7 linked regions of the Bombyx mori genome follow. The protein of the gene in region 4 purifies or fractionates together with the protein of the main gene of each other region. This does not show direct contact. Links are inferred from orthologs where the notes say so. Each region holds a gene or a part of one and is shown on either strand. Other genes may lie near its edges.

What was found.
Region 1: the proteins of DNA-directed RNA polymerase III subunit RPC2 (region 4) and DNA-directed RNA polymerases I, II, and III subunit RPABC3 purify together in Homo sapiens (affinity purification with mass spectrometry; 5 studies listed by BioGRID and IntAct, with this or other methods). This does not show direct contact. The link is inferred for Bombyx mori from reciprocal best matches to the Homo sapiens genes POLR3B and POLR2H.
Region 2: the proteins of DNA-directed RNA polymerase III subunit RPC2 (region 4) and DNA-directed RNA polymerases I and III subunit RPAC1 purify together in Homo sapiens (affinity purification with mass spectrometry; 7 studies listed by BioGRID and IntAct, counting the BioPlex papers as one, with this or other methods). This does not show direct contact. The link is inferred for Bombyx mori from reciprocal best matches to the Homo sapiens genes POLR3B and POLR1C.
Region 3: the proteins of DNA-directed RNA polymerase III subunit RPC2 (region 4) and calcitonin gene-related peptide-receptor component protein purify together in Homo sapiens (affinity purification with mass spectrometry; 5 studies listed by BioGRID and IntAct, with this or other methods). This does not show direct contact. The link is inferred for Bombyx mori from reciprocal best matches to the Homo sapiens genes POLR3B and CRCP.
Region 5: the proteins of DNA-directed RNA polymerase III subunit RPC2 (region 4) and DNA-directed RNA polymerase III subunit RPC6 fractionate together in Homo sapiens (co-fractionation; 4 studies listed by BioGRID and IntAct, with this or other methods). This does not show direct contact. The link is inferred for Bombyx mori from reciprocal best matches to the Homo sapiens genes POLR3B and POLR3F.
Region 6: the proteins of DNA-directed RNA polymerase III subunit RPC2 (region 4) and GPN-loop GTPase 3 purify together in Homo sapiens (affinity purification with mass spectrometry; 3 studies listed by BioGRID and IntAct, counting the BioPlex papers as one, with this or other methods). This does not show direct contact. The link is inferred for Bombyx mori from reciprocal best matches to the Homo sapiens genes POLR3B and GPN3.
Region 7: the proteins of DNA-directed RNA polymerase III subunit RPC2 (region 4) and prefoldin subunit 2 purify together in Homo sapiens (affinity purification with mass spectrometry; 3 studies listed by BioGRID and IntAct, with this or other methods). This does not show direct contact. The link is inferred for Bombyx mori from reciprocal best matches to the Homo sapiens genes POLR3B and PFDN2.

The regions. Positions count from the first base shown.
Region 1 is NC_085130.1:16,021,253-16,025,547, reverse strand, and holds the start of DNA-directed RNA polymerases I, II, and III subunit RPABC3, read left to right. Parts: upstream 1-1,495; 5' UTR 1,496-2,298; coding exon 2,299-2,591; intron 2,592-4,295. Other genes in the region: H/ACA ribonucleoprotein complex subunit 4, read right to left, coding at 1-1,203. UniProt on the Homo sapiens protein: DNA-dependent RNA polymerase catalyzes the transcription of DNA into RNA using the four ribonucleoside triphosphates as substrates.
Region 2 is NC_085131.1:5,579,017-5,583,082, forward strand, and holds the start of DNA-directed RNA polymerases I and III subunit RPAC1, read left to right. Parts: upstream 1-1,266; 5' UTR 1,267-1,864; coding exon 1,865-1,918; intron 1,919-1,997; coding exon 1,998-2,298; intron 2,299-2,679; coding exon 2,680-2,799; intron 2,800-3,271; coding exon 3,272-3,454; intron 3,455-3,550; coding exon 3,551-3,778; intron 3,779-4,066. UniProt on the Homo sapiens protein: DNA-dependent RNA polymerase catalyzes the transcription of DNA into RNA using the four ribonucleoside triphosphates as substrates.
Region 3 is NC_085116.1:3,015,504-3,019,649, reverse strand, and holds the start of calcitonin gene-related peptide-receptor component protein, read left to right. Parts: upstream 1-1,346; 5' UTR 1,347-1,364; intron 1,365-2,027; coding exon of another isoform or gene 2,028-2,194; intron 2,195-3,918; coding exon of another isoform or gene 3,919-4,146. Other genes in the region: uncharacterized protein LOC101741169, read left to right, coding at 2,028-2,194, 3,919-4,146. UniProt on the Homo sapiens protein: DNA-dependent RNA polymerase catalyzes the transcription of DNA into RNA using the four ribonucleoside triphosphates as substrates.
Region 4 is NC_085116.1:7,720,257-7,724,342, reverse strand, and holds the start of DNA-directed RNA polymerase III subunit RPC2, read right to left. Parts: upstream 2,801-4,086; 5' UTR 2,574-2,800; coding exon 2,499-2,573; intron 2,121-2,498; coding exon 1,789-2,120; intron 1,205-1,788; coding exon 1,092-1,204; intron 160-1,091; coding exon 1-159. UniProt on the Homo sapiens protein: Catalytic core component of RNA polymerase III (Pol III), a DNA-dependent RNA polymerase which synthesizes small non-coding RNAs using the four ribonucleoside triphosphates as substrates.
Region 5 is NC_085131.1:5,845,520-5,849,766, reverse strand, and holds the start of DNA-directed RNA polymerase III subunit RPC6, read left to right. Parts: upstream 1-1,447; 5' UTR 1,448-1,553; coding exon 1,554-1,741; intron 1,742-1,906; coding exon 1,907-2,111; intron 2,112-2,187; coding exon 2,188-2,439; intron 2,440-2,844; coding exon 2,845-3,081; 3' UTR 3,082-3,580; coding exon of another isoform or gene 3,581-3,912; 3' UTR 3,913-4,247. Other genes in the region: putative OPA3-like protein CG13603, read right to left, coding at 3,581-3,912. UniProt on the Homo sapiens protein: DNA-dependent RNA polymerase catalyzes the transcription of DNA into RNA using the four ribonucleoside triphosphates as substrates.
Region 6 is NC_085122.1:14,098,448-14,102,745, forward strand, and holds the start of GPN-loop GTPase 3, read left to right. Parts: upstream 1-1,498; 5' UTR 1,499-1,775; coding exon 1,776-1,820; intron 1,821-2,312; coding exon 2,313-2,509; intron 2,510-3,119; coding exon 3,120-3,334; intron 3,335-4,298. UniProt on the Homo sapiens protein: Small GTPase required for proper localization of RNA polymerase II (RNAPII). May act at an RNAP assembly step prior to nuclear import.
Region 7 is NC_085129.1:194,080-198,164, reverse strand, and holds prefoldin subunit 2, read right to left. Parts: upstream 2,801-4,085; 5' UTR 2,445-2,800; coding exon 2,311-2,444; intron 2,229-2,310; coding exon 1,931-2,228; 3' UTR 393-1,930; downstream 1-392. UniProt on the Homo sapiens protein: Binds specifically to cytosolic chaperonin (c-CPN) and transfers target proteins to it. Binds to nascent polypeptide chain and promotes folding in an environment in which there are many competing pathways for nonnative proteins.

The sequences.
Region 1 (4,295 bases), on a different chromosome or scaffold from region 4:
GCCATATTTGTCAAGTTTCCCTTGTTGTATGAGGATTTTTTTCTGTGAGGCTTTCGGTCCGAGACCCCATTTTCTGGGGTACGTGTCTCGTTCCATTATGACACGCTTGAGTTTCGCGGCTACACCATGATCGCATGAGGCCATCGTAGACGTGGTCATCAGAGCAACGGCCAACGCTACTGCCTCACCTTTAGTGGTGACTATTACGATTTCTTGGTCAACTTCGATGCCGTCTTCGTATCTTAAAATACCTGGTAACAGCACTTTGGCTCCGTAGCAAACAGCATTAACAGCGCTGTCTTTGATAAATATCCTTTTGTGAGCAATCAGGAGGCCTTCCAGAGGTTTGATTACTCGACGAAGATAAGTCTCGTCTTTGTGGTTTTCATACGACCATTGTGCATCTAGGATGTCGTGCATCGTGACCATGCCTTCCTTCTCGCCCTGAATGCCGGACCGTACTCGTCTGAGTTCGATCATCTGACCTCCGACGCCAAGCATCAGACCTAAATGCACACACATCGTCCGGATATACGATCCAGCCTCGCAACTAACCCAGAACACCCCAATATTCTTGTCCTGGTCGAAATCCAGGAGTTTACTGTCGTACACCGTCCTGACACGCAGTTGTCGCTTCACGGCCGATATAAGCGGGGGCCTCTGGAATAGAGCTCCACGCAGCTTCTCCAAGCCCTGTGTGACTTTTTGAATATTCTCTACGGCTGAATGCAAGTTGAAAACGGCTACATACTCTTTGCCAGCGTTCTGTTGTGATTTGACGAGTCTCGTGGCGCGGTCTATGCAAACGATAAGGCAACCCGTAACTTTCGGATCGAGCGTGCCCGAATGACCAGTCTTTTCGACTTTTAAAATACGTTTTATCCATGAAACTACTTCGTGGGAGCTGGGGTTGCTCGGTTTGTCGACGTTGATGAAGCCAGATTTGACGTAATCAGAGATGGGGCGTTTTAAAGGCGAGTTGCCGAATGGTAGCGGCGTGTAATGGTTAGTGCGCACATTTAAGCGATCGAAGTTTTTCAACAACAAAGGCCAGTAAGCGGTGTCCAGCTTCTTCACGCTCTCCGAAGGTTCGATTTTGAAGTCGCCAATTGTCTGAAAAGCTCCCAACGAAACACCATCCTTGTTTTTTTTCTTTTTCTTCTCTGAAAGTGTGTCGTTACCGGGCTGCAGTACCTCCGTCATTTTGATGAATTAACACGTATCTTTTCTTACTCTTAATTTTAGGCGATCGACGCAATCACTTGGGTAAACAATGCCCTATAATCGGGCACTGTTTATTGAAAGAACTTTGAAAATATAACACAATGCTCGGCCATATAGCACGTGCGATTCGGTTGAGGTTAGCTTCAGATTTGTTTGCGTATGATTATGGTCAGATGGCGCCAACGTGCAAAGCTCGTTGTGCCAACATTAAAACAGAAAATAATTCGGATACTTGTTAATTTTTTTAACCTTAAAGCAGAACATAAACATGTAATATTTTTATTGGACTGAAGTTTTATACTTTTTCGTTTATTATTGATAATTTTAATAATATTTTGTTAGTTTTTGACACTTAAAAACAAAAACGATTTCCAAAAAATGCCACGAAATATCGTAGTCACTACTTACACTAAAAATATTAAAGAGAAAATGGAACTTAAACGTAGACCGAAATATACATTTATTCAACTCCTAAATTTCGTACATTGTCTTGGCCTATTTATCATTAGATAGGCAAAGAGAACTAAAACTATGCCGCCGAATTTTTGTAACAAAAAACTATATTATTATCGACAAGGAACGTACAATGGAATAATTTAAAGACAGAACCCAATCCCCTCAAAATCTTAACCGTCCAACAGAAATCCATCAATTTCATAGTTGGGAATTTGCTTAAAGTCCAACAGAGATTATGGTAGACCCAAAAAAATAAAAACTATTTAACATCTTGTCCTTCCACCAAATCCTTATCAACTTCTTTCACTCTCACTTTAAATAGGAACTAACTAGTAAAAACAAATCTAAGTAGTCCAAATATATAATATAGGTAAAATGGGATTCTTTTTTTCAGTGTGAGATATTCCGTCAAAGTATCCAAATATTCAGTACCTATACTTCAAAAAAAAGTCACACTTGACATTGACATTTATTATCAATGTTTTTTTTACATAGACCTATATAGTATTTTTAGTGCCGTAAAATTTCAAACAGCAACAGAGTCAGCGTGCTTCTTTCTCATACTGTCCGTTGTTGATATTGTTTTAGTAAAATAAATTCACAGGATAAAACTTGATCATGGCGGGCGTGCTATTCGAGGACATTTTCAACGTCAAAGACATGGATCCGGAGGGCAAAAAGTTCGACAGAGTCAGCCGATTGCATTGCGAATCGGAGTCATTCAAAATGGATTTAATATTGGACATTAATTCTTGGATATATCCAATGCAACTAGGCGAAAAGTTTCGTCTAGTTTTGGCCACGACGTTGAGGGAAAACGGATACCCTGACGGCGGAGAATGGAACCCTCTGGAAACCGAAGGAAATCGAGCAGATAGTTTCGAATATGTCATGTCCGGAAAAGTATACAGGTTAGTTCTAACATAAAGGTGTTGTAGCGGCAGGTATCGTACAACAGAAGATATTTTACAGATGCAGTTAGCAATTATACAATTTCCTAACGATCATATTCGGAACGTCGAACTACCGAGCAAAATCATGTCCTCAGTGGAAATCTTTCCTTATAATGAAGCTACCTGTCACATTAGCTCCTCAATTTGATGTTGAAGTGGATGAGAGCCGAAAACGGCTCAGTGGTGTGGATTGGGAGACGCCCATGCCCAGCAGGGGACGCCTTGGGCTAATGATGATGGTGATGGTGATGATGATGAACACTTGTAATATCTATGTGGTTATAAAGTCTATATAAACCAATTTAACAGTATTATGAGTTTTGTACATAGGCAGAGTGGCACCTTCCTACAATATGAGGTACCACCACCACCTGGAATCAAATAAATCATAAATTTTGTGGGTTTCGTCATCATCGTCAGCCCACAAACGTCAGAACACAGACCTTTCCCATGACTCACCTCAATGGCTGGTCCTGTGGAGCCTGCATCCAGCAGATTCCTGTGACCTTTAGCAGGATATCAGAAAACCGAACAGAGCTGCCCACTCTCCCGGTGTACTATGGCCATTTGTGATCAATTTAAAAACTCACAAAATTTATCCATTTGTGATATTTCATTGCCTACCATTCATACTTACCTATGCGATTTGAACACTGGCAAATTTCATCCCTTAGTATGAGAATACAGTGTTCGATTTGTGATTTGATGTACCCACCAGATATGAAAATCTACAGATAGCCAATAGGACTAAAAGCAACTCCTAATTTGAAATAGCTGCCAAATGATTAATTAGTTCTCAATTACAAATTTAACGCAAACTCAACTGGGTTACGTTTAGTTAAGGTTATGTTTAGTTAAGCAAAAACAATGATATACTGTTTGTGTTACTATTTATGCTCCTGTATCAAAAATTAAATATATTCTTGTCCCTGAAGTAGTCTGGCTGATATCAGTGGAAAAGTATTCCATTGGAACTACTGCAAAGTAATCATTGTTGGACTAATAATTGTTGTATTTAATGCAATTGAGTGTACAGTGAAAGCTCTTCAGAAACCGTGAATATGGAATGGTAATTTATATATATCGGATTATAGAGGATACATTCCTAGGTGACATAGTAAAAAAAGTCTTTAGGCATAGTTGTGATAAGGTCTATTTTACTTTTTTATTTGTCCATTTGATGACAAATTTTCAAAATATGTTCAGTTCTATACCTACATATTGGAGTCCTTTTTATCAATGTGTCGAACCCGTCGCTTGCGATGAAGGGCTCGACGAGCAAATTAACCCATAGACACAGCCCACTGAGTTTCTCGCCGGATCTTCTCAGCCTGTCGTGTTTCCGATCCGGTGGTAGATTCTGCGTAGCACTGCTCTTGCTAGGGCCAGTGTTAGCAGCACTCCGGTTTGAGCCCCGTGAGCTCACTACACGTTAGGGGGAAGCTGATATAGCCTCTCAAGGCTATCAGCATAGGAAAGAATAAAAAAATTAAGCAATTTTTTTTTTTATTGCTTAGGTTTGTGGACGAGCCCACAGCCCACCTGGTGTTAAGTGGTTACTGGAGCCCATAGACATCTACAATATAAATGCGCCACATACCTTGAGATATAAGTTCTATATTCTCAGTATAGTTACAACGGCTGCCCCACCCTTCAAACCGA
Region 2 (4,066 bases), on a different chromosome or scaffold from region 4:
GAGCCAACGCGCGGCCGCGTTATCGCAGGTGACGCCGGGCTGCTGCGCCGGCAGTCCGCCACAAAGCCTCGTACTGATCGCGCGTTTCTCTCATTATTGTATTTTCATATATTTGTTAGTCGTTTGTTTTGTGTCTCGTTAATTTGTTAATAATCTGTAGTGTATCGTGTTGTCGTAATATAGAACTATTTCTCGTATTGTTTCGTTTAATTTTTTATATCCAGTAAACTCCAGTCGTGCGTCGGAGCGGACACACACACTTTTTTCATTTCTTTCTGTTTCGATTTACATAAAACAGACACGACTTCACTTACTGTAACAAAAATTAGGATTGTATGGTCTTTGATCCTTTTGCCCAGCGAGTTGTCAATTCAAACAAGTAAAAACCTCTATTTATTTTCCAATACGGTACGGTACCGTACCGTAAAATGGGGCGATTAGGGACAAATTCCAACTTTATGAGCAATTTTAAGGTAGTTGTTGATGTATATAATGCTATATCAGGATCAAAATGATTGAGTCTTGGGGGCATCTTTGTTGTCTAATTTAAAATTATGCAACTAGCATTCCAGTTTAAGCAAAAAATGCAAAAATAGGTGTAATCTCTATTTACCCGAAAATTGCGGTTAATTGGGATGTAATGAGAAATTTGCTAGGGTTGGCACTATTTTTATTTTTATATATAGTTTTAATTTATTTATTTATTTAGTTGCACCAACAAAGTGATCATCAATAAAAAAAAATGAAAAACTGACAAAAGTACATGGCAGACATCACCTCAATTATAGGTGCAATCGACAGTGCTGATATTTCTATCTGGGTTAAGAGATTAGGTGTGTCGGTTATTCCATGGATTAATCAGATGAATACCCCCACTCTGAACAAATATTAAATATTTTATTATGTATTACTTAGACATTTTTGTCCACCTTGAGATTTCATTGATCTTGTTACATGTCTCTGCAAAATCGACTTACTTATATTAAATTGCTTATCTATTTCAAATAAAGACTTATTCCCAATTTCGCTTCGAATAAACCAGATATTTACCAACAAATTCAAAAAATATTGTTATAACTACATAGACAACCCTACAAACCTGTACCTATTTATACTTAGGTCGTTTCCATTTCACGTATTCTCATCCCAATTGACCCCTTTTTCGTTGTTATTTGTACCTAAGACGTCCCCAATAACCCCAAAAACAACAGATTTTTACATGTATTTTTATTTAATCAAATACATTAAAAGCAATAACAACTGAGACTTACCTTTAATATATATGCTGGTTCAAACACTAAATAACGTTTATAAATCATAGTCGTCTTCTATTATTATCAAATAAATAAAAGAGAGCAAAGTTTCTAGCACTAAAATAATGACCACCACAGGAAGTTAATTTGAAACGCGATTTTTTATAAGTTAGCAGCTATTATCATGCATATTCAGAGTTGTTTTGTGAACTTTCAACATTCTACTATTAAACTACAAAAAATGGAAGATTTTGCAACGAATATAAAACTTATATTGAGCGTCGAAAGATTTTCCCGGTTTTTTCCCGATTCGCCTGTCAATCCCTAATCGCCCCATTTTACCGGTACCGTACCTATGTACCTACATAAGTACAAACTTACATTACTTACTACATAGTCAAAGTTTAAATTACCTACTAAAAATTACTTAAAATCACTACTTAAGTGTATAATCTATGATCACTACCTTACGTAAAATCATCGAAATATTTAATTTTGTCAATTATATCTGTATAAAAATATGCGACAAACTTTATATACAGTAAACGTTACTGTATACCTGTGAAATAAGATAAAACCTTATTTACATTAATTAGTAAAATATTGCAAAAATGCCTAAATTCGATGAAAAACCCCGAGTTTTTCTTGAAGAATTCCGTGTTAAGGTTCTCCTTTAAATTGCAAGACTTATTTACAACGATAAAAATGCACATGATCATAACCTAATAATTTTTGCCCGTACAGAATGCACCCGAAGATTACGGATTAGACGATGAAACATGGGACTTCAAAAAGTTTGTGAAGAAGTTTAAGATAGTTGTAGTACGAATGGACAATTTCGAAATGGAATTTGACTTGATTGGGATCCAGCCAGCATTTGCGAACGCATTCCGGAGACTCATGTTAAGTGAAGTTCCTAGTATGGCTATTGAAAAAGTAATGATCAAGAACAACACTTCTATAATACAGGATGAAGTTTTAGCACACAGATTAGGATTGATTCCTCTCAAAGCTGATCCAAGATTGTTTGAATATAAATCTGAAGGTTTGTGTACAAATTATTACAAAGCCGAGACCATATGTGGGCATTCGTTTTGGAAGATGATTGTTTTCTGTGAAATTGGTTGTCTAATTATTTTTTATTTATCAATTACGTAAACTAGTACACTAATAAAACCACAAATATTCATTTTTCTAGTATCCTAAAATTGACAATTTAGAGCTGGAATGCAAGATGTTATTAAATACTCACTTTTATACCTCAATAAACATTTATATCTCATAATCAGTAAAGTTTTCACAGCCTAAAGGATAAGATGCCTGGTCCATTTTTATTATTGTAACTATGATGAAATAAAAAAAGTTAACAGAAAATAAAAGAATTGTTTGAGCAGCTCTTGTAAATAATTTGAAATTTTATTTTCAGAAGACACGGAAGGAACAGAATTCAACACTTTAGAATTTTCACTAAAAGTAAAATGTACCAATAGCAAGTCACAACCAAAAGATTCATATAGAGCTGAAGATTTGTATGAAAATCATAGTAGTGAGTTTTCTGTATATCAATATAATAATGTGTAACAAACAGCCTATTAATGTTTTTAATATAACAGTAGATCGCAGATCAGCATATGGCCCTGGTATTAAGCTTGCTGCAGTGCATAGATATAGGTGATTCACTCACATTAAGATATGGGATTGAAGTTTCCATTCCATAGCAAAACAGCTATCCTTACAAACTGGATTCCTTTGCAGTAGAAATGGACAAGATAAATTATGACTACCAATACCAAACTTATAGAATGTTACTGCCATTTTCTGGTAAATTTTTTAGCCACCTGTAACAACACCATGGTAAGATATAGAGTGGTATTGTTGTATGCTGATAGGACAGAACACAGAGCTGATTTTTTGAACTATGGACTAATCTATGAAATTTATATTTATAGTTTTTTTATATAATGCTAGATGATTTTGTTATTCTTAATACTTAGTTAATTACAAATATGTTTATACAGTTTATTCATCCCATATGAAGTGGCATCCAATTGGCAACCAAGCTACAGTTTATAAAGAAGCTGATGTGGGTCCTGTACATAAGGATATTCTTATATCAAAAATGAGACCTGGCCATGAAATAGACCTTCAAATGATTGCCGTGAAGGGCATAGGAAAGGATCATGCAAAATTTTCACCTGTTGGTTAGTCCCTTCTTATGAATATTTTATAAAATGAGATAAGCTTATTTTAATTATTAAAAAAAATGGTTTAACTAACATATCCATTTTATTCTACAGCAACAGCTACATACAGATTGCTGCCAGAGGTAACACTGACTCGTGAAGTTTGTGACAGTGAAGCCACACTGTTGCAGAGTTGTTTCTCACCAGGTGTTATTGGTATTGACTCTAAAAACCGAGCATATGTGAAAGATGCAAGATATGATGCATGTAGTCGTAATGTTTATAGATATGACACAATCAAAGATTCAGCAATCCTAAGTAGAGTTCGGGATCATTTCATATGTAAGTAGCCATATGTAAATTAATGAAATCATAAAAATGCCACAAATAATTACATGTGCAACAGTTTTTTTGCTATCAATGCTGGTTACCTCAAGGGGGTCTAGCTTCACCTAACGTGTAGGTAAGCTTACAGGCTCAGTCTGGCGAATTTGCTAACACTAGCCCTAGCAAGGGCAGTGCTTCTCAGAATCTACCACTGGATCGGAATCGCGACCCAGTGAGATGATCTGGTGAGAAACTAAGTGGGCTGTGTCTAAGGTTTAATTTACAAACCCAAAAATCTAAAAA
Region 3 (4,146 bases), about 4.7 Mb from region 4:
AGATCCGGCGAGAAACTCAGTGGGCAAAGCTCCCTTAAACACACAGACCTTTCTGAACGTCAGAGACAACAGGTCGGGTTTTAACGTTCGCCGTATCTGTAATCAAAACTAAAGGATAGATAGCGTAGAGTAATCGTAATCCGACTTTTTGGCTCCGATTTCGAAGACTATATAGGAGGAGTATTGATCTGGTTTCACGGGCACAGCGACGACAACGTAATACCAACTTAGTATATAAGCTAAAATTTCACGCACGCAACAATCTAAATGCACCTTACAAACTTAGTTCCTTCACAAGGCCACGGTTGAGGTAGATACGATTTTACAACATCAAATTTACATAATGATACTAAACGATAATATAATATATATATATATAGTGCCGTAAATGTTATCTGTAGCTTCAGACGTACGTTACAAATATTCGAAAAAGTGCGATGACACGTTATTATACACATTTGATGAACTTATAAAAATGGGTTGTTCGAAATGTTACAATATAAATGTCAGTAATAAAAAAGCCATCTATAAACTAGTTTACGAATGTTAATTAAATTAAAACTATGATACAATCACTAGTTTCGTATAATTAATATTAATAATTAAAGTTTTAGGAGTAAAATTGAATAATTCCAATATTTTCTGACATCGATCACAACGCATGACGTCATTTGTGGCTAATCATTGTTTTTGTGTATATGGTAAGCTCGTCACTTATTCTGACCTCTAATCAAGTTGCACGTGGTGGGTCGCGTTAGGTTAGGTGTGTTATATCAAGTTTGAGCGGAGATTTCTAAAAATAGGAACTGTCAATCTGGTTGCCTATTGTAGACGTCAGTGACTCTTATGCGATAAAAATTCTACAATTTATGAGAGAGAGGATATGGGTATATGTGATCGACCAGTTGACTGGGACCCACGGATGCGTTGTGACTGCTCTAGACCCAAGTCCAGCATGAACTGGAAAGTTCATCGTTCCAAGACAAATATTCTTAATCTTCTCGAAGCATCTTTATGCAAATTTCCCGCTGTCTTTTGCCAAAGCGGTTTGCTTTTGTTTAAGCTACGACTTCCCAATCATCCCTTCCAATCTTTTGTATTCCAACTGATAAAAATTCCTCTAAATATTGTATGTTATTTTATATTAGAATTATACACAACGTTACCGCGCAGTTTGAAGGGAACACCGGTAATCACTTATTCAGATAGTCCCTGAGCTCGTCTGCAAATGTAAGGTGATAAAATTTTAATGTAGCTTTAATGTTAGAAACTTTGTAAATAAAATGTTAGTTGTTTGTTACAAAATTATTGCACAAAGTTCGTGACATCACCGCCATTATTGTGTTGAGAGAGAGAGAGAGAGATACGAGATTTACACAATACCTCTTATTCGTCTTTTATAATTGTATGTACTGCGAAAAATTATATGTCATCACACAAATAATATCGCTTCTGTTTTCATTTTTAAAAAGGTACTTTTAATGGTACTAACGTAAAAATATAACGCCGAGCAACGGGCGGCGGTCAACTAACCTGAACTAGGGCTTCAGTAGCTCAGAGGAACTAAATCCCCTCTGAAATTCTGCTGTGGAAGGACGCGGGAACCCACCACTAGCAATTTTCCCAAGTAAACCTTACGTATGTATTCCGTAAAGGTCACGATCCTTAGCACTGAGGAACACGACGCACGGAGGAGGAGGCTAGCATTTATTACTTGCGCATGTACATTTTTTTTCTTACCTAAGCTGATAGCCTTGAGAGGCCTCAGCGTCGCCTTAACTAGTAGGTGAGCTCACGGGGCTCAAACCTGATGACGTTGCTAACACGAACCCTAGCAAGAGCCGTACTTGGATCTGAAACGCGACCCACTAAGAAGTTCCGGCAAGAAACTCAGTGGGCTGTGTCTGTGGGTTGTCATGTACATCGTTTCCAAATTCAAATTTATATGAATTTTAGAGCCTATAAAGAATAGTCAGGCCTATATCGTCATCATTCGTCGCTCGTATTGAACGCAGTGTTCCGCGCAGGTGGTGGACCCTCGGCTGGTGGCCGCGTTCGACGCCCGCGAGCTCGAGCTCGTGATAGCCGGCGCGCCCGAGCTGGACGTCGCCGACTGGAGGAACCACACGGACTACCGCGGCGGCTACCACGACGCGCACCCAGTCATACTCTGGTTCTGGCAGGCCATCGACAGGTACGCGCTGTTCAGCGCGCTCAGTGCGAGTTTTTTAACGTTCTCGATAGCGTAAAAGTTAACCCAATTTTGTATGCAGTTGGAACAGCGCCCCTAGCGGCAAACGTACGCAAACGATCCCATTCGATACAAATATGAGCTAACTTTTACGCTATCGAGAACGTTAAAAAACTCGCACTAAGCACACTGATCAGCCTCATTATGACTTTTCTTGGTATAACAGTCGAAGTCAAACGCACGTGCAGCCCAGAGGCGAATTATCCGTAAGGCAAACTAGGCACGTGTCTAGGGGCGTGTAGTTACAAGGGGCGCGCGAGCTCAGAATTTTTAAATAAATAATGAAAATAACATATCGACGATTAAGAACTAAATGCTGATCTATAATCTAAATCTATAATAGATTATATTGCACAAGCATCGATATACTCGTATTTTGCAATATTGCGGGTTTGTTTGTATTTCATTCGCGTATGAGCGTAAGTACAAAGGTCCTGGTCTACTAAAGTCTAGGGTTTGATGATACAACGTCATCGTAATTGTAAAAACAAATAGCTAAAATTTATAGTATTATATAAAGGCGCCGATAAATTGATTTCCTATGGCGCTCTGGACTTTTAATCCGCCACTGATACAGTCTTCTCGTGGGTAAGTGGATACCGCCGGTCGCGGCACAGACACCGACTTCCGTAAGCAAAGCGCTTCCCGTAAGATCTTACAAGAGTTATGGTCATGTAATGCTACACACCGGACTGATTGAAATGACATTAAAAATGATGCCTTATGGCGCGCCGAAGATAAGGTCTATTGCAATATCAGTGACAAATACGTTAAGTAAATTAAAATAAATTACAAATATTATTTATATATTTGTGATTTGTCAATTTCCAAGCAACGATAAGTCGTTGGTTACGATGTGGTAATTTGATAGTGATTTCAAAATTGAAATTCAAATTACAACATAAATGTTGAGTGAAGTATACATATTAAAAATGAATACAATATCATTATACATTTTTTTATTCATTTATTTGGTCCTAACGGTAATCTGATCCATGGTTAATGAATTTCTCTCTCTGAATTTTTTTCAAAGGAAAACATTTTTTCTACTCAAATGTTCTAAAAATAGTGCAAAGTCGAACAGGATGCGGCGAGGCATCCCGTTTTCATTCTTCTAAAATTAACGCTGCGACAAAAATGTAAAATAATAATTACATTCTCGTAACTTCAATACATTGAAACGTCGGTTTCTAAAAGAAGCATAACCCTGAGATAATATATCAGCGAAACAAACTCAGTGTGCTTGTCAAAATTTGTATTTGTATCCTCTTTTTTTAATATGAGGATATAGTATTAAATGTATTGGACAAAAAAACAAATGTAACGATATAAAATGTATGTAATGATAATTACGTGTTAGATTTTTTAAGTTACTAATATAGATTATAAGTAATTCTTATTAACAAAACTGGCGACCCGCCCTCGTTTCGCTTCGGAAACTGTAATTTATTATTGATTTCTCCACTATTTAATGGATATTATACATATAAAACCTTCCTCTTCAATCACTACCTGTTAAAAAAAACCGCATCAAAATCCGTTGTTTAAGCATACATAGGGACAGAGAAAGCGACTTGGTTTTATACTATGTAGTGACAGTGATGATATGGTTTAAAAAAAAAAACTGAAATAAAAGTATAAATAAATAAATACGATATTTCCTTCAGGTTCACAAACGAGCAGCGGCTGAGGCTCGTGCAGTTCGTGACGGGCACGTCGTCCATCCCGTACGAAGGGTTCGCGGCGCTGCGCGGCTCGACGGGCCCGCGACGCTTCTGCGTGGAGCGCTGGGGACGCGTCGAGTCCCTGCCGCGAGCGCACACCTGCTTCAACCGCCTCGACCTGCCGCCCTACCCCACCCCGCAGCTGCTCTACGAGAAACTCCTGCTCGCCGT
Region 4 (4,086 bases):
GTCTGAGCACATATTTTCCATGTTTAAGAATCACATTCGTTCTAGTTTTCTTCTCATGTGTGGAACTTGTAACCTGACATTGTACTGCTCCTTTGAATTCATCAACAATCATTCGATTTCTAGAGAGTTGCTCTTGAATTAAAATCACCTTTTCTTGACCTACAGACAATAAAAATTGTTTTTCATTACTCAAGTAAACTACATATATATGTACTTATACAGGTGTCCTGAAACTCAAGGTCAAGCGGGTACGGGGCTAGGTACTACTCGTGCAGGGAAAAATAAAAACAAAAATACATTTCATTTTAAAAACCATACATCCATTGAACTTCTATTAAAGGGGCTGCATAAATGAAAAAGCGTACATGAAGCCAATATAAAACTAACTGAATTCACTCCATGTAACTGTATGCAATAGTGATCGAATAATAAAATATTGTCACTCTTGAAATCAAAACCAATAGTGTTCGGATCCCAAAACTGTTTTCTTTTTTTTTTAGAAATTTAGATAAATTTTAGCATATTTTTTGGCTATGCTACTCAATCAGATCATCTCTTTGAACGTTCAAACGCAGTTATTTTTACAGTATCGTTAAAATGATAATTTGAATTTGATTGTCTTTAACTTTGTTTTAGAGCACTGTTAATAAATGTGTTTCATTAAAACCATATTATTTTGTCTAGAAACCTAGCTCATAACTGTATATTCACAGAGAACTCAGTATTTCATTCATTTAGACCACAAAAAAAAACCCAAATGTAGTGTGAAATGCAACCTTAATGTGGTCAATGTTAGGTTATTATGCTTTAAGTCTTGCCAAATTTTTTATTCTATGTATTTTTAACTTAAAGTTTTTCTTTATATTTATTTATTATATTTCTTTATATTATATTTATTTAAATTTTCGTTTATTTTTATTCTGACTAAATATAAGGCTCCCAATGTACTTTACTCCAGATTAACAAATTAATAAAATTTAACTTTATGATTACAATTATTACACATTTAAATATTTTATGTACATTTTACATTTATATACATTGGAGTTTTTTTTTAATATTAGTTGTATAAAATTAAATTGGTTTCTTACCTCTTATAATAAAATAGCCTCCAGGATCATGGGGACACTCATTTAACTGTGCAAGCTCAAAATCCGATTTATTAGTAAGAACGCAGTTTGAAGACCTAAGCATGAGGGGCATTCTGTAAAGAATCAAAATACAGATTTCAAAATGATATATGAGAGTGATGTTAATAATAGGTATATAATTTAATTACATTTCAAATGGCCAGTATTGTTAAACTTCATAAGCAAAGACCTAATGTTAAAGTAATTAAAGGAATCATTAACATGTTAAAAATTTGTGATACTATTACTTTGATATTGACACAAAAACTGTTTTTACTTTGACTACTTTATTAATACTTTGACAGACATGTGTCGTGAAGATAGGTAAAAGGCAGATGATGAACTACTTAAATTCCTACATCATCAATAGTTGCAGCCCATAAGTCAATCAATTTTTAACTGAGTTACATTGGGTGGGGTGGACAAACAATAAAACATAATTTCTCTGTCGAGCTTTTCATTGAATTGTTTTTAAGATAGGATATTTTCAATTGGGAGTACAGAATGTTAAATTCATTTGATATGTATAATACAGAATTTTTTAAAGCCTGGAATGTTCTGCTTTTTAGTGAGTAAGATCAAGATATAGTAATAGATCAAGCAACATTACATCTGCTAGTATTAGAATATGCATTTCTTCATTTATTTAAGATGTTACCTTCCAATCAGTTGTTTATTTTTGATCACCCTCTGGTTTCCTCTAATATATTCTATATCAACAGTTATAGGAGCTGAGTATGTTATATCTCTAAGACGACATTCATGAGGTGTCGTTGGCTTAGTGATATTGAACCCTTCTTCCAAGTCAGGTGTACCAACATAGGCATTTAAATATTTAATATAGAACAGTGGATCAGATTCACAAAATACTTTTTCATTAGCCTGTACTATCTTCTTTATCTCCACATTTATGAAGTAATTAAATGAATCTATGTGCTGTTTCACCAAACCTTTAACTTGAAGAAATGAAGGCACTAATTTCCATTTATCCTGAAAGAAAACATTCATATGAACAGTGTTAAGCTGAAATATTAGAAATTTAAGATAAAATCAGGACGTCAGTAAATTGTACTATTTTTTTCTAAGATTTTTATGATGTTATTCTATAAAATTCATACATTTTATTATTCAAATAATTATGATCATACTTTGGTAGGGTTTTGAACTCAACTGTATATTGTCACTTACAACTTTTGTTACTATACAATTGAACTTTGGAGTGATTAAATATCAATGAATGAACAAAATCTTAAAGACAGTTATATGATTTTGTTGTTTGGTTAGTAGTAATATTATAGTTCGTGTATTTTTTTTTCAATTGTGTATCAAAACAATAGTAGTAATTCAGAAAAGTAATAAAGCTAGTACCTCAAGGGTTTTGACAGGGTCCCGTAATCCTTTGGTATCCCACTCATTTTGTTTTTTATTAAGTTCGCCCATCATGTAAATTAAATAAGCTATTGTAATATTGAACTATCTTCGGCAGTAAATCATATTGTCCGTATTTACCAAGCGATGGAATCTTGGAATTGTTTTATAGAATGGAACAAATCAGATGAGTACATATGTAAACAATAAGTGCAATTTTTAACAACGAACAAACACGAGCACAATTCTGCACATTTAATTACAAACTTTAAACTCATAGATATTTTTTTGGTACAATTTTTCCTTTAAGAAAGGCAAGGGGATCTAAGCCCATACAGCGTGCCCATAAATAATTTTTAAATCCATCTATACTTTTTTTAAGGGATTTTATGACCTGGTAACTAAAACCAAGTCAAGGTCAAGTCTTATTTTAATTTTAATGAAAAGTTTTTTTAGGTAAATGAAAAATAATATTATGAAATGAAATAAAGTCGATTAATATAAAACATGGCATGAAATGAAATGAAATTAAAACGAAATAAAATGAGATGAGGTGATATGGGATGAAATATAATCTCAGTAAAACGGTGGTCATTTACTGAGACTTTTTCAGTGGATTTTCGAGGATCCCGAGAAGTTACGTTCAGCAGCTTTGTTTCATTTTCCCACATTTATGCACTTTCACAGATAATAGACAGTTAATAAACCACCGATTACCTATTTAAAGCGCCTTATTCACGATCCATCTTGCTGTACGTCCCGCCAAGGCCATGCACGATGCACGATGCAAAAGGATCATGAATAGGCTTGACGTACGTCGATAATTATTATTAATTGCGGCCTTGAGCTGACGTACAGTCGTGATGGATCGTGAATAAGGCGCTTAAACCTGAAGAAACTCTAAATAAACAAAAAAAAAAGGGTGCGTGTACTTATGTACGCGCGTAAGAAGTTAAACTTTATTTTTATTAAAGAACATCCTCAAACACGCATATTGGACATCCCTTTTCTTGACATCGTATAAATTCGGTAATTCTCGGTACGGTTCGGACAATACACGACGACCTGGGCCTTGAATCAATCCAGAAATACATGAAGTCAGCGTCGGAACGGTACTTCGATAAGGATATGCGTCATGATAATCGCCTTATCGTTGCCGCCGCTGACTACTCACCGAATCCTGATCATGCAGGAGCCAGTCACCGTCGACGCCCTAGACACGTCCTTACGGATCCATCAGATCCAATAACCTTTGCATTAGATGCCTTCAGCTCTAATACTAGGAGCAGGCTTAGGGACCCCAGTAACCGTACTCGTCGAACTCGACAAAGAGGTCGACGTGCAACCTAGCCCATGCATCAGCCCGCTGAGCTTCTCACCGGATCTTCTCAGCGGGTCGCGATTCCGATCCGGTAGTAGATTCATTCGCGAAGCAATTGCTCTTGAGTTGTTAGGTCTCCTTCGGAGGCGCTCGGGCAGCTGTTAGCAAATCCCACCCCTCCTGGCTGAGCCTTTGCTCGCCCACCTGTCCTGGTGAAACTGGAAAGGCCTTCGGGCCACCAGTAATCTCTCAATCATAAAAAAAAAA
Region 5 (4,247 bases), on a different chromosome or scaffold from region 4:
ATGATTTTGAATTTGGAACACGTATATTATTTTAAAAACTTTGTGGCGTTTAAGTACGCACCTTTTTATGATGCGTAAGCCGGAACGCACGAGAGGTGGGAAACAGAATATAGTCTGTGACACGGGACCTTTTTTTTACCGCCAAATATTTAAAACGTAAAAACAATTTATAATGTGTAAAATAACTAATATAATATAATTAGCTAGAATTGTTTATGCCGCTACATCAATAAAATTTATATTGTTTCAACTGTGGTGTTAATTACATAAAACACGACTTTACGGCGAAAGAAAGACTCTATATGAACTCCCTCAACTTCTTTCGATTTTGCGCCATTTCACATATTTTTTCGTGTTCATTATCAAATTACAATATGGAATAGGGTGTTAAAGAAAATAGGTTTGCAGTAATCGCCTTACACAAAGTGGATATGGAGCCGTCGGTCATATTCCAGACACTTCAAAAGCTTGGTATCAGCCGTATGTTCGTAAATTGTACTATGAACAGATACAAAAACACTTTGTCTGTCGAAGACCAGAGAAGGTCGGGGCGGCCTCGTGGTGCTAGAGCTACAAAGGCTACTAATGCTGTTAAAGCCAGAATTCGTCGCAACAGCGAAAAATGATGATTCCCGCTAGGACTGTCGCAGATTATAAAACAAGACCTGAAGTTCAGTGCTTATCCTCGATGTACATAACATGACCTAAATCGATCTTTACAATTAAAGAGAGTGGATCGATCCAAACGTCTTGTGTGCAGGTGAATGGCACAGAAATATCCTCTTTACCAATAAAACAATTTTCACGATTGAAGAACACTACAATAAGCAAAGTGATAGTATAATTTAGGGTATGCACACCGTTCTGAAGAAGTGCTATAAAGAAGTGTTCTGCTCAAGTGATCAAAGGAACAACGTAGTCATAATCCTGCGTCAGTAATGATTTGGTGAGGCGTGTCTTATCAAAGAGTCACAAAACTACATTTTTGTGAAAAAGGAGTAAAAACTTCAGCCAAGGTGGCTGATTGAAATTAATTTTTTGGCGGGAACGCGAGGAGTGAAGTTGTGTGTATTGTTTTATTTTGTTTATTTAGTGTTTCTTCAGGCTTATTAACTGCTTAGTATCTGTGAAATTGCACAAATGTGGGAAAATGAAACAAAGCCGCTGAACGTAACTTCTCGGGATCCTCCAAAAAGTCCACTGAAAAAGTCTCAGTAAATGACCTCCATTTTACTGAGATTATATTTCATCCCATATCATCTCATCTCATTTCATTTAATTTCATCCCAGTTGATTAATGTCTCAAATTAATCATCTTTATTTCATTTCACTCCATAATATCATTTTTCATAAAAATATGAATATAAATTAAAATAAGACATGACTTAAAGGTCTTAGTTACCAGGTCATAAAATCCCTTAAAAAATATATATATTTGTTTAGCCCATAGAGTTACTATTCTAACTAAGGTACTTATTAACTCCATGGTTTAGCCCAAGCCCCAAAGCATATTCTAATAAATCTAATACACAAACGCTTAATATTTTCCAAAAATGAGTTCCGAAGATACAAAAGAGAAAATACTAAATCTTGCAAGAAAAAGCTCGAAAGGAATTACAGACAAGGATATAATTGCTGAAATACCTGGCATATCATCAGTAGAACTAGTAACTGCTTTAAATGATCTGCTGAAACAAGAACGTTTTGATTTATTTAATCAAAACGGATCTTTAATTTATAAGTACGTTAGCAAAATAATGAAGGTGTCTAAAGATATTAGCGTAACTAATAAATATAGTCTATTTATAGAATTTTTAGAGAAGAATTGGAAGATTTAGAGAAGAATTTTCAAAGAACTTGAAATAATATTAATAATAATAATATTATTAAATTTTATTCATTTTAGGTTGAAAACTCAAACAAATAAGCACGCAATCAAAGGAGCAGATAATGAAGAAAAGGTAGTCTATAATCTGATTGAAGAAGCAGGAAATAAAGGAATTTGGATTAGAGATATTAGGATCCGTTCGAATCTTGCAAACACTCAACTGACTAAAGTCCTCAAAAATTTGGAAAGTAAAAAAGTGATAAAAGCTGTGAAATGTGTTAATGTAAGTAAATTTAATTTTAAATCAACGAAGATCTATCTGATACTTAACTTACAATTTAAACCTGGTTAATTCACAGGCCTCTAAAAAGAAGGTTTATATGCTTTACAACTTGGAACCAGATAGATCATTGACAGGGGGAGCTTGGTACCAAGACCAAGACTTTGAATCCGAGTTTGTAGATGTCCTCAATGTACAATGCCACAGGTTCTTGAGTCAAAGAGCTGATAATATGAGAAACAATCCTAGGGGACCTGTTTTTGGACGAACACAAGCTTATGCTACTGCTACTGAAGTCCAAAAATATATTACTGATCTGGGAATTAGTAAAGTAAGATTTTACAAACATACACTAACTTTTTTTTTTTTTTTTATTGCTTAGATGGATAGACGAGCTCACAGCCCACCTGGTGTTAAGTGGTTACTGGAGCCCATAGATATCCACAACGTAAATGCGCCACCCACCTAGAGATACAAGTTCTAAGGTCTCAAGTATAGTAACGACGGCTGCCCCACCCTTCAAACCGAAACGCATTACTGCTTCACGGCAGAAACAGGCAGGGTGGTGGTACCCACCCGCGTGGACTCATAAGAGGTCCTACCACAATACACTAACTTGGTCAGCGAACATTTTAAAATACCATGTAGATTTAATTAATTAATGTTTCATTTATATCTACTTATATGATGTTTATTATTACATCAACGTTTTGTTAGTGTTACTTTTCTTTTACAGGTTGTATTAGATGTTGATGATGTAACAACAATTTTAAACACCCTAGTGTATGATGGGAAGGTAGAAAAAAGTGTGTTTCCCGATGGAAGTAATGTATATAGAGCTATAGAAACTCTTATACCATCTTCAGGCCTTGTTCAAGTGCCATGTGGAATATGCCCCTTGATTCAAAGATGTAATTCCTCAGGACTAATTACTCCACAAGTTTGTAATTATATGACTGAATGGTTGGAATAATTAAAAAAAAAATATAATTAATAACATTTTTAATACCTATTTAAATAAGTATCATTGATCTAGTTAAAAGAATATAAGCTTCCTCTACAAATTAAATTGTGACTAGAGACATTATACTTAAAAGCATTAAATAATATATTTCTGTTGAAAACACATACTATTTTAATTCTATTATAAGTTCAAAATTTTTGCTTTTAAAACAGATATTTGTAGAACATTACTTAACAATAGAATACTTAGTTACAATATGAATATTGTGTGCACATTTGAAAAACCAATACTTTTATAACTGTAGATAATTTTATATAGTTAAAATTACGTAACTTTTAACTGAGAAAAGTCTACTTTATAACTTGTCACACAGAAGGCTCCTGTTTTAAAGCAATTTATTGCAAATTAGTTATGGTCAACAACAATTTTGCAACAAATTATTTAACATTCTAGTGGTCATTTCAACATTTTAATGCAAGTACAATGTGTAATTTATACTGTAAAATCCTCAAAATAAACTTCTAAAATTATTCTCGATATTATGCAAAATACCAGAGAGTACAGCTGGCTCCCTCCTATTTCTTGTAAATTTATCTTCATCTCTTTCTTTCTCATATTCAGTATTATTTTTGGGGAAAAATGAGCTAAATGCGTCCATTTGTATATAATTCAACGACTGCAATATTAGGCCTTTATTTGGATAAGGTGTGGGACTAAGAGTTGGTGAATTGTGATTTATATGTTCAGGAACGTGATTATTTAGTGTGGCATCTGGTGGTGATCTCCCATTTGTACTATCTTTGTCAGAGGATGGGCTGTTTTTGGGTGCTTGATCTCCACCTATTAAAAATAGAAAATAAATTGATGATTGATATATTTACATTGTTCTTAGAATCAATACTAAGAAAAAATTTATCAGCAAGCTTTGTCACCAGTTTAAATATTTCCATGCCATAGTGTGTGATATTGATAATATTACAATTTCTGAGATGATAAAATAATTAGAACCTGTACACCACATGATATCAAGCAATAAATATGCATGACAGACTCAAGTACCAACCATACTCATAAATTGAGTTTTAGCGCCAGTCAGAAGCAACAAAACAAATTGCAAACCAACAGTTCGAATTAGTTGGAACTATGTTAACTTAGTGATAAGCAAAAAGTAAAGA
Region 6 (4,298 bases), on a different chromosome or scaffold from region 4:
TTTAGTGCTAGAAACTTTGCTCTCTTTTATTTATTTTATAATAATAGAAGACGACTGTAATTTATAAACGCAATTTACTGTTTGAACCATCCATATATTAAAACCATATATTAAAGGTAAGTCTCAGTTGTTATTGGTTTTAATGTATTTGATAAAATAAAAATACATGTAAAAATCTGTTGTTTTTGGGGATATCGGGGACGTCTCAGGTACAAATAACAACGAAAAAGGGGTCAATTGGGATGAGAATAAATGAAATGGAAACGACCTAAGTATAAATAGGCACAGGTTTGTAGGGCTATCTATGTAGTTATAACAATATTTTTTAAATTTGTTGGTAAGAATCTGGTTTATTCATGATGTTTTTGTCTACAACTTTTATTCAAAATTATCAATACAGTGTTATTTTATTGTTTGGCAAATATTTATATATCAGTTACGCGTTGTTTTCTATTTTTAGATATGCCTCGCGTGTACGTATCAAAGAGTGCAAATCCTTATAAAAGATATGATCCCTTAATATAAAAAATTATACAGAATAGAAGGCTATGAAATTAGGAATAAGTCTTTAGTTAAAATAGCTAAGCAATTTAACATAAGTCGGTTTTGCACAGACTTGTGACAAGAACAATGAAATCTCATGGTGGACAAAAATGTCTAAGTAATACATAATAAAATATTTTAATATTTGTCCAAAGTGGGGGTATCCACTTGATAAATCCATGGAATAACGGAAACAACTAAGCTCTTCAGATAAAAATATCTGCCCTTAAGTACTTACTAAGAACTAAGAAATATAAACCGCTTATAAGAAAGCCCGCTCGTTCGCATTTAGGTGCTTACCCTCTCTTAAACAGAATCGTTTGGGACTACAATAATGTCCACGGTAGCGCGGTCTCCTTTAATGTTCATTCGGAGTTGTCCGATTGCGCTGAACTAGCTTTAAGTGATGAAATAGATGTTTTTTCTAATTGTCTCACAACTTACAGGAAAAATCTGTCGCGGATATTTTTCCAAGTAAATATAAGTAATTATTAATTAATCATAAGTAATTAAATCTAATCAAGTTTTAGTTATATATTTTATATTTTTGTTATCAATGCACTGTCGATTGCACCTATGATTGAGGTGACATCTGCCATGTACTTTTGTCAGTTTTTCAATGTTTTTTATTGATGATCACTTTGTTGGTGCAACTAAATAAATAAATTAAAACCAAGGAGTGCCAGCCCTAGCAAATTTCTCTATTAACACTAATTTCGTCCCCAATAATCGCAATTTCTGGGTAAATAGGGATAACACCTATTTTTGCTTAAACTGGAATGCTCATTACATAGCTTTAAATTGGATAACAAAGATACCCTTAAGACTCAATCATTTTGGTGCCGATATAGCATTTTAAACATCAACAACTACCATAACATTGTTCATCAAGTTGGAATTTGTCCCTAATCACCCCATTTTACCGGTATACCTACGTTTTAAATGTCAATTGTCACTATTGTCAGTGTCAAAATCTCACCATTGCGAGCTGTTGTATAAAAAAACGATTTGAAAAGTTATTAGCTGGAAAATAAGGGCTGTACATGCACTAGGATTTTATATATTTGACTATAACAGTAATACAATTTACAGAACACGTCTTGAAGTTCAAAATTCAAAAAAGATAAAGAGGCGATAAGAAAACAGGCAGCTATGCAAAGATAACCTATTCGTTCTAACAAAAAATATAAACCGTGTTAACAACTCATGTTTTAGATCTAAACAAAAAAACAATGCGTTACGCTCAGTTAATAGTGGGACCAGCCGGAAGTGGAAAGGTATAATATTTTAGTACCTTTTTTTTTTTTTTTTTTTTTTATTGCTTAGCTGTGTGGACGAGCTCACAGCCCACCTGATGTTAAGTGGTTACTGGAGCCCATAGACATCTACAACGTAAATGCGCCACACACCTTGAGATATAGTTCTAAGGTCTCAGTATAGTCACAACGGCTGCCCCACCCTTCAAACCGAAACGCATTACTGCTTCACGGCAGAAATAGGCGGGGCGGTGGTACCTACCCGTGCGGACTCACAAGAGGTCCTACCACCAGTAATTACGCAAATTATAATTTTGCGGGTTTCTTTACGTATGCATTTTTTCTATGAAAAACTTTTTTTTTTATTTACTAAAAAACGAAGAAACTTAAGTACGTTAAACATCTTTAATCATCTTTTGATAGAAAATACAAAAATGTAATGCATGTTCCTTAATCAAATCATTAATACTTATATGGTAAAATTCTAATATATAAAATTACCCTATTTGTCAGTCAACATACTGCTCTACAATAGTGAAACATGCAATGGACTCCAAACGCATTGTAGATGTAGTAAACTTGGACCCAGCAGCTGAACACTTTGACTATGAGCCACTCGTAGACATCAGAGAACTAATACACCTTGATGATGCTATGGAAGATGAGGAATTGCAATTTGGACCAAATGGTGGTCTAGTGTTTTGTATAGAGTGAGTGTTTTGTATTGTTATTGTAATTCACTGAAACCCACAATCACCACAAAGTAAATACTGTTAAGCCTTTGGCATTATGAGCACAGGTGACTTACCCTTCAGTATGTATGATGATTTTAAGTAAAGTTTTACTATTAATTTTCTTATTTTAATAGGTAATTACATAGGCCTTAATTTATGTTAGGAGGGCAATGAGATGGTAATTGATAGTTGCAACAGTAAATGTATTATTGAATATTTTTTTATTGCTTAGATGGGTGGATGATCTCACAGCCCACCTGGTGTTAAATGGTTACTGGAGCCATAGACATCTACAACGTAAATGCAAAACCCACCTTGAGATATAAGTTCTAAGGTCTCAAGTATAGTTACAACGGCTGCCCCACCCTTCAAACCGAAACGCATTACTGTTTCGCGGCAGAAATAGGCAGGGTGGTGGTACCTACCCGCGCGGACTCACTAGAGGTCCTACCACCAGTTATAATAATGCTGTTGGTGTAAGTAATAATGGTGCTTACTGTTACTTTGCCACAGAAAAAAATGTACAAAAATTGTAGGCTGATAGAAATTGGCCAGTAATAACCTGAAACAATATTTACAATTTCAGGACCCTCTTAGAGAATTCTGACTGGTTAGAGGAGCAACTTGGAGATGTTGATGATGATTACATTTTATTTGACTGTCCAGGACAGATTGAGTTGTACACCCATCTGCCGGTTATGAGAAGATTGGTTGATTTGCTTCAGAATTGGAACTTTAGGATATGTGTAGTGTTCTTAGTGGACTCGCAGTTCATGATTGATGGTGCAAAATTTTTATCAGGTTAGATAAATTTTATTGCTAATTTGTGTGGAATGAGCAGGGATCATGAAAGTTTTGAGATTGTCTTAATTTAATGAACTAAAAAATATGGAAGTTAATGCTTTGACAGTGGAAATGTGTGTCTCATCAGAGGCCAAGATCATTTTTGAGGAGTGAGACATCTTACTATTGTTCATAGACAATTTCACATAAGCATTACCAGCAGCAAGTAAACCTGTCAAACATAAATAGAACATAAGTACATATTTATGCACACTTAATAATGCTCCTTGATAAGACAACCTCCCAAATCATTACTAACGCAGGGTGATGACGACGTTGTACCCTGTGAGCATACACTTTATCATTTTGCTTACTGTAGTGTTCTTCAATCGTGAATTTTTTTCATTGGAAAAGTGAATATTTGTGTGCCTTTCAGCTGCGTATCGCAACAGAAGGCGTTTTGATCGATCACTCTCTTTGATTGTAAAGATTGATTAAGGGCATGTCTTGTATATCGACGATATGCACCGAGCTTCAGGTCTTGTTTTATAATACGCGACAGAGTCCTAGCGGGAATATTCATTTCTCGCGATAAGATTTTTTCGTCCTAGTGGGGTTTCGACGAATGCTGGCTTTAACAGCATTAACAGCCTTTGTAGTTCCAACAGTACACGGCCGCCCCGATCTTTTCTGGTCTTCGACAGACGAAGTTTGTTGTATCTGTTCATAGTACGGTATACGACCATACGGCTGATAGCAGGCTTTTAAAGTGTCTGGAATATGACCAACAGCTCCATACCCACTTTATGCAAGGCGATCACTGATTCTATTTTCTGTAACACCCCATTCCATAAGGTAATTTTATAATGAGCGAAAAAATATGTGAAATGGCGCAAAATCGAAAGGAGTTTAAAAAATAATAAACGTGTTCCAAATTCAAAATACATAAAAAAAACTTGAAAAAAAGAAATGTTTTAGTGTT
Region 7 (4,085 bases), on a different chromosome or scaffold from region 4:
CATTCTACTTCATTTCGTTCCTAGAAATATGAGTTCGAAATCTCAATTGCTTTTGAAGGTTCCACCTTACCTGAACGTAACTGCTTCTTGGAATAAAATGGATGTTAGTGGCGCCCGCCGTGCGGCTCCACTAGACGCCATAGTTCGCCAGCACAACACTCAGAACTATTTTAAGTGGAAACATTGTAAAAAAACCTAAATCCATCCACTGTGGTTTCTAATACCCCACCTGATACATGGAGGTAAGAAGGCAGGGCCCGACTAAATGTAAAGTTTGGATTACAATAAACATGTCAACGAAAGGACTTGCATGCCAATTGTTTGTTATCCTCTGTGGTATCAACAGTATTGGAGATTAGTCGTCAGACCCTTACAAGTCCAAACTACAAAAATGAATTTTTCAGAAATATATTTTATACAAAATTACTTTACATGAAATAAATATTAGTACACTTTTTTTTGTTTAGTTATTCTTTTCTATATTATAAAATAAAGTTTCTTGTTATTCCTGGCTATTTTTATTTTAAGTAACAATAAATTTTAAGGTTCCAAAAATTAAAACCAAATATGAATCTAGCCATGATCATGTTTTATAATCATATTAAAATTCACCTGATGAAACAGAAAAAGTTGTCACTGTTTTATTGTGACATCCCACCTGGTATTAAAATTTTATCAGACCTCTGACAACATTATGAATGTCACCATCCTGCTAAGAGTATAGGAAGTTTTAATTATATTGTATAGTTGTCCATAGAAATAAGGTAATAATCTAACCATGCTCACTTAGAGTATGGTGCAAGTAATAAATTATCCAAACTTATTAACTTTTCAGTTGAGACTTTTTACACAAAGTTATTACCTGATTGCCATAGTTCATCTCTGAACTCGGACATGCGTATAGTATATCATTCAAATTGTTGGCAGTAAGTTGGCTCTACCCCTGGCAATGGTGAGCCGTATGCTCGTCTGGGCAAGGGCAAATGAAAAATTCAGGCATTCAGGCTTGTTAACTGGCCAAACACTTCAAAATAGCAGTAAACCTTAAAGCTATGTACACAGTTAAACAATACTCTCAAGGTTTCAGTGATATTTCTACTTATTACAGTTGCCTACCAATCACATTGACTCTGCATAGGTGAGCTTCAGATGCTGTGACAGCATTGGGAATATACATATAGCACAATGTGGAAAACATTTTACTATTTAAATTATTTTTCTCTCATATATTACTCTAATGTTTAGAGTTTAAACATTCAAAGCTTATTGTTTTTGATTAGAAATATATCACTGTCACCTTAGACATTGTTAAAGAATGGTGAGGACAACAACAAAAAACTCCATATTGTCTTGACTTCTTAAATGAAGCTATTCTCATAATTGTTGGGACAAAGAGACTGCTTCTCTGCATTTGTATTACATATTCCATGAAAAGTGTTGAAAAGTTGTTCAAGATCTATTTTATTATTAAAGTTTATTATCATACTACTTTCCACTAGACAAGGGTTCATATTCTACTGCCTGAAAAAACTGTTTATTGAGTTTAATTCCACATTATTTGAGCACATTCAGCTGGGGAATTAATTATTCTCTGTGGAGTTTTCGCTGTAGTATTCCTTTCTTTAAATATGTGGTTAAGTGTCTTGGAGTATTGTCACACTAAAATGATTTATTTATCTGGTTGAGATGGATATTCAGTTAGATTTTCCTTTTCTTGTCATCATATTCATAAAGTACTGCTTCATAATACCATGTTTGCCCCCCTTGCCCCTAAACATCAGCCAGAACTAATTTATCAAGCCACACCGTAATAGTATTGTTAATAATAAAAAGTTTCCCAGTACTACCTCACACTGCTTTAGGCAAATGTAGGACTAGTCTCACTGTCAATACACTGCGACAGCTATATGAAATGAAAGGATCAGTATAGTTAACCGCTAGCAACTAGCACATTAGACTTGGTAGAGGTGGATTGCTCTGGAGGTGGTTCAGGCATGGTGCGATCAGCACGTTGGATGCGAATATCATGTTCCTCAATGTATTTATTGATCTCCTCTCCCTTCTGAGTGAGTTGGTCTTCTAGGGACTGGATGGCCTTAGGTAGCTGTTCATAATTGCTGATCAGCTCTGGCAACACCTCAGCTACGGTGCGTTCGACAAGCACGCCCCCAAACATCCGGAAACACTTACGGGTCAACTCCACTCCCCGCAAAGTCTCAATTACGATCCTGTAGACATAATTTACTATGTATTTTGTATTTTTTTAAGCAGTAGATTGATATGCAATAGATTTATTCCACATTTACTCACTTATGTTCGTTTAACTCCATTTGTAATTCTGATATTTTACTCCCTAATTGACGTTGTTCATTACGAAGAGTTTGGAAACCAGCAAAGATTTCCTCATTCGTTTTTTTTCCTACTTTTGATGTATTTTTAGCCATTTTACTCTAGGTAGGTAGGGGAAATGGAAATCAAAATTTTAGGATTTTTTTTTATATAGTTTTAAAAAAAGAGTAATCAATTTAACTCTCTTTGAAAAGTAAAAATAATCACGGTTTACTGAAAGTTTTAAAAATAAAAGAACATGTAAATGTATTTTAAATTAACAAAAACTCAAATTAACTAGTTTTTATCGAATACACGGATTAGGTTATGTACATTAATGTACATGTCAGTTTTTTTTTTGCGAACGCTGGCTACTTTACCTTTTAGGCAATTTTTTTTTTTATTACTTCACAAGAAAATCTTTACCCTCAAATAAATTGTGACCATAGTTTGTGAAACACTTGAGATAAGTTTGAGTCATGACAACCAACTCCTGAAAAGCATCTATTATATTTAAAAAGCATTTTTGGGACGTATTTTGATAATATCCTAATCCTTAGATTAAAAGCATTAAAGTCTTTGTCTATTACTAATAAAATTTAAACTACTAAGTTCTAATAGTACAATAGTTGGGGAAAAAGTTTCTTCGCATTTTTTAAGAAAATTCACATTTTTTAATATTGTTTATTTACATTTAACTAAAGTATGTAGGTACCATTTTGTTCGATAACTTTTTGCCATCTTGTAGGTAGGGACATGATCCCATTGCTATGGGGCTTCCGATCAAAATACCGCGACAATTGGTTTTGGCAGTCCTCTCGTGATGTTAACCTGACAATGCCTAAAAAATTCTGAAGAGATCGAAACAGGTGGAAGTCTGAAGGTGCAAGGTTAGGACTATAGGTAGGAACATTTTATCCGTAATACCCAGCTTAGATAAGAAAAAAAAAATGTATGTGTGACGTGTGTGCAAGTCACACACGGTAGAAGTGAAACCTTTAAAAAATAAAAATTATCGCAAGGGTCAACCACTCCATAGTGCAATGGAGCAGCCTCACCCTGGGGGAAACCGCCTGCATGATCACCGTATCCCTACGCCAAGTAAGTATGATTAGATTATTTTTTTCCTACCTATGCTGATAGCCTTGAGAGGCTATATCAGTGTCGCCTTAACTAGTAGGTGAGCTCACGGGGCTCAAGCCGGATGATGTTGTTAACACAAACCCTAGCAAGAGCCGTGCTTCGCAGAATCTACCACCTGATCGGAAACGCGACCCATTGAGAAGAACCGACGAGAAACTCAGTGGGCTGTGTCTGAGGGTTACTTTATTCGTCGAGCCCTTCGTCGCAAGCGACGGGTTCGACGAGAACGATGACGGGTTCGACGAGAACGATGACCGGTGCTTGAGGTACTTAAAAGCACTGTTAGTGGATCGGGAGGATCCGAAATGACGTGTTTGGGGCGACGTCGACAGCTTTCCATTCTCACCGCAGGATCGGGATTGTAGTTACCGACGGCCACGATGAGAGGGTTCTCGTGTCGTGCCGCTTTATCGAAGTGGCGCATTGACGCCGACTGAAGATACTTACTGATGGACTCTAAGTCCAGGTCGTCGTGGAGCTCCGACGGCTATCCTGCAAAAACGGGATTGAATAACTTGGAATGATTTTAAGCTAGTGCGGGCCGCGTGAGCGAACACTGCGCTTGCATAGGTCATATCAGGGCGTACGCAAGTTTTGTAGAGTGTCACCCTATT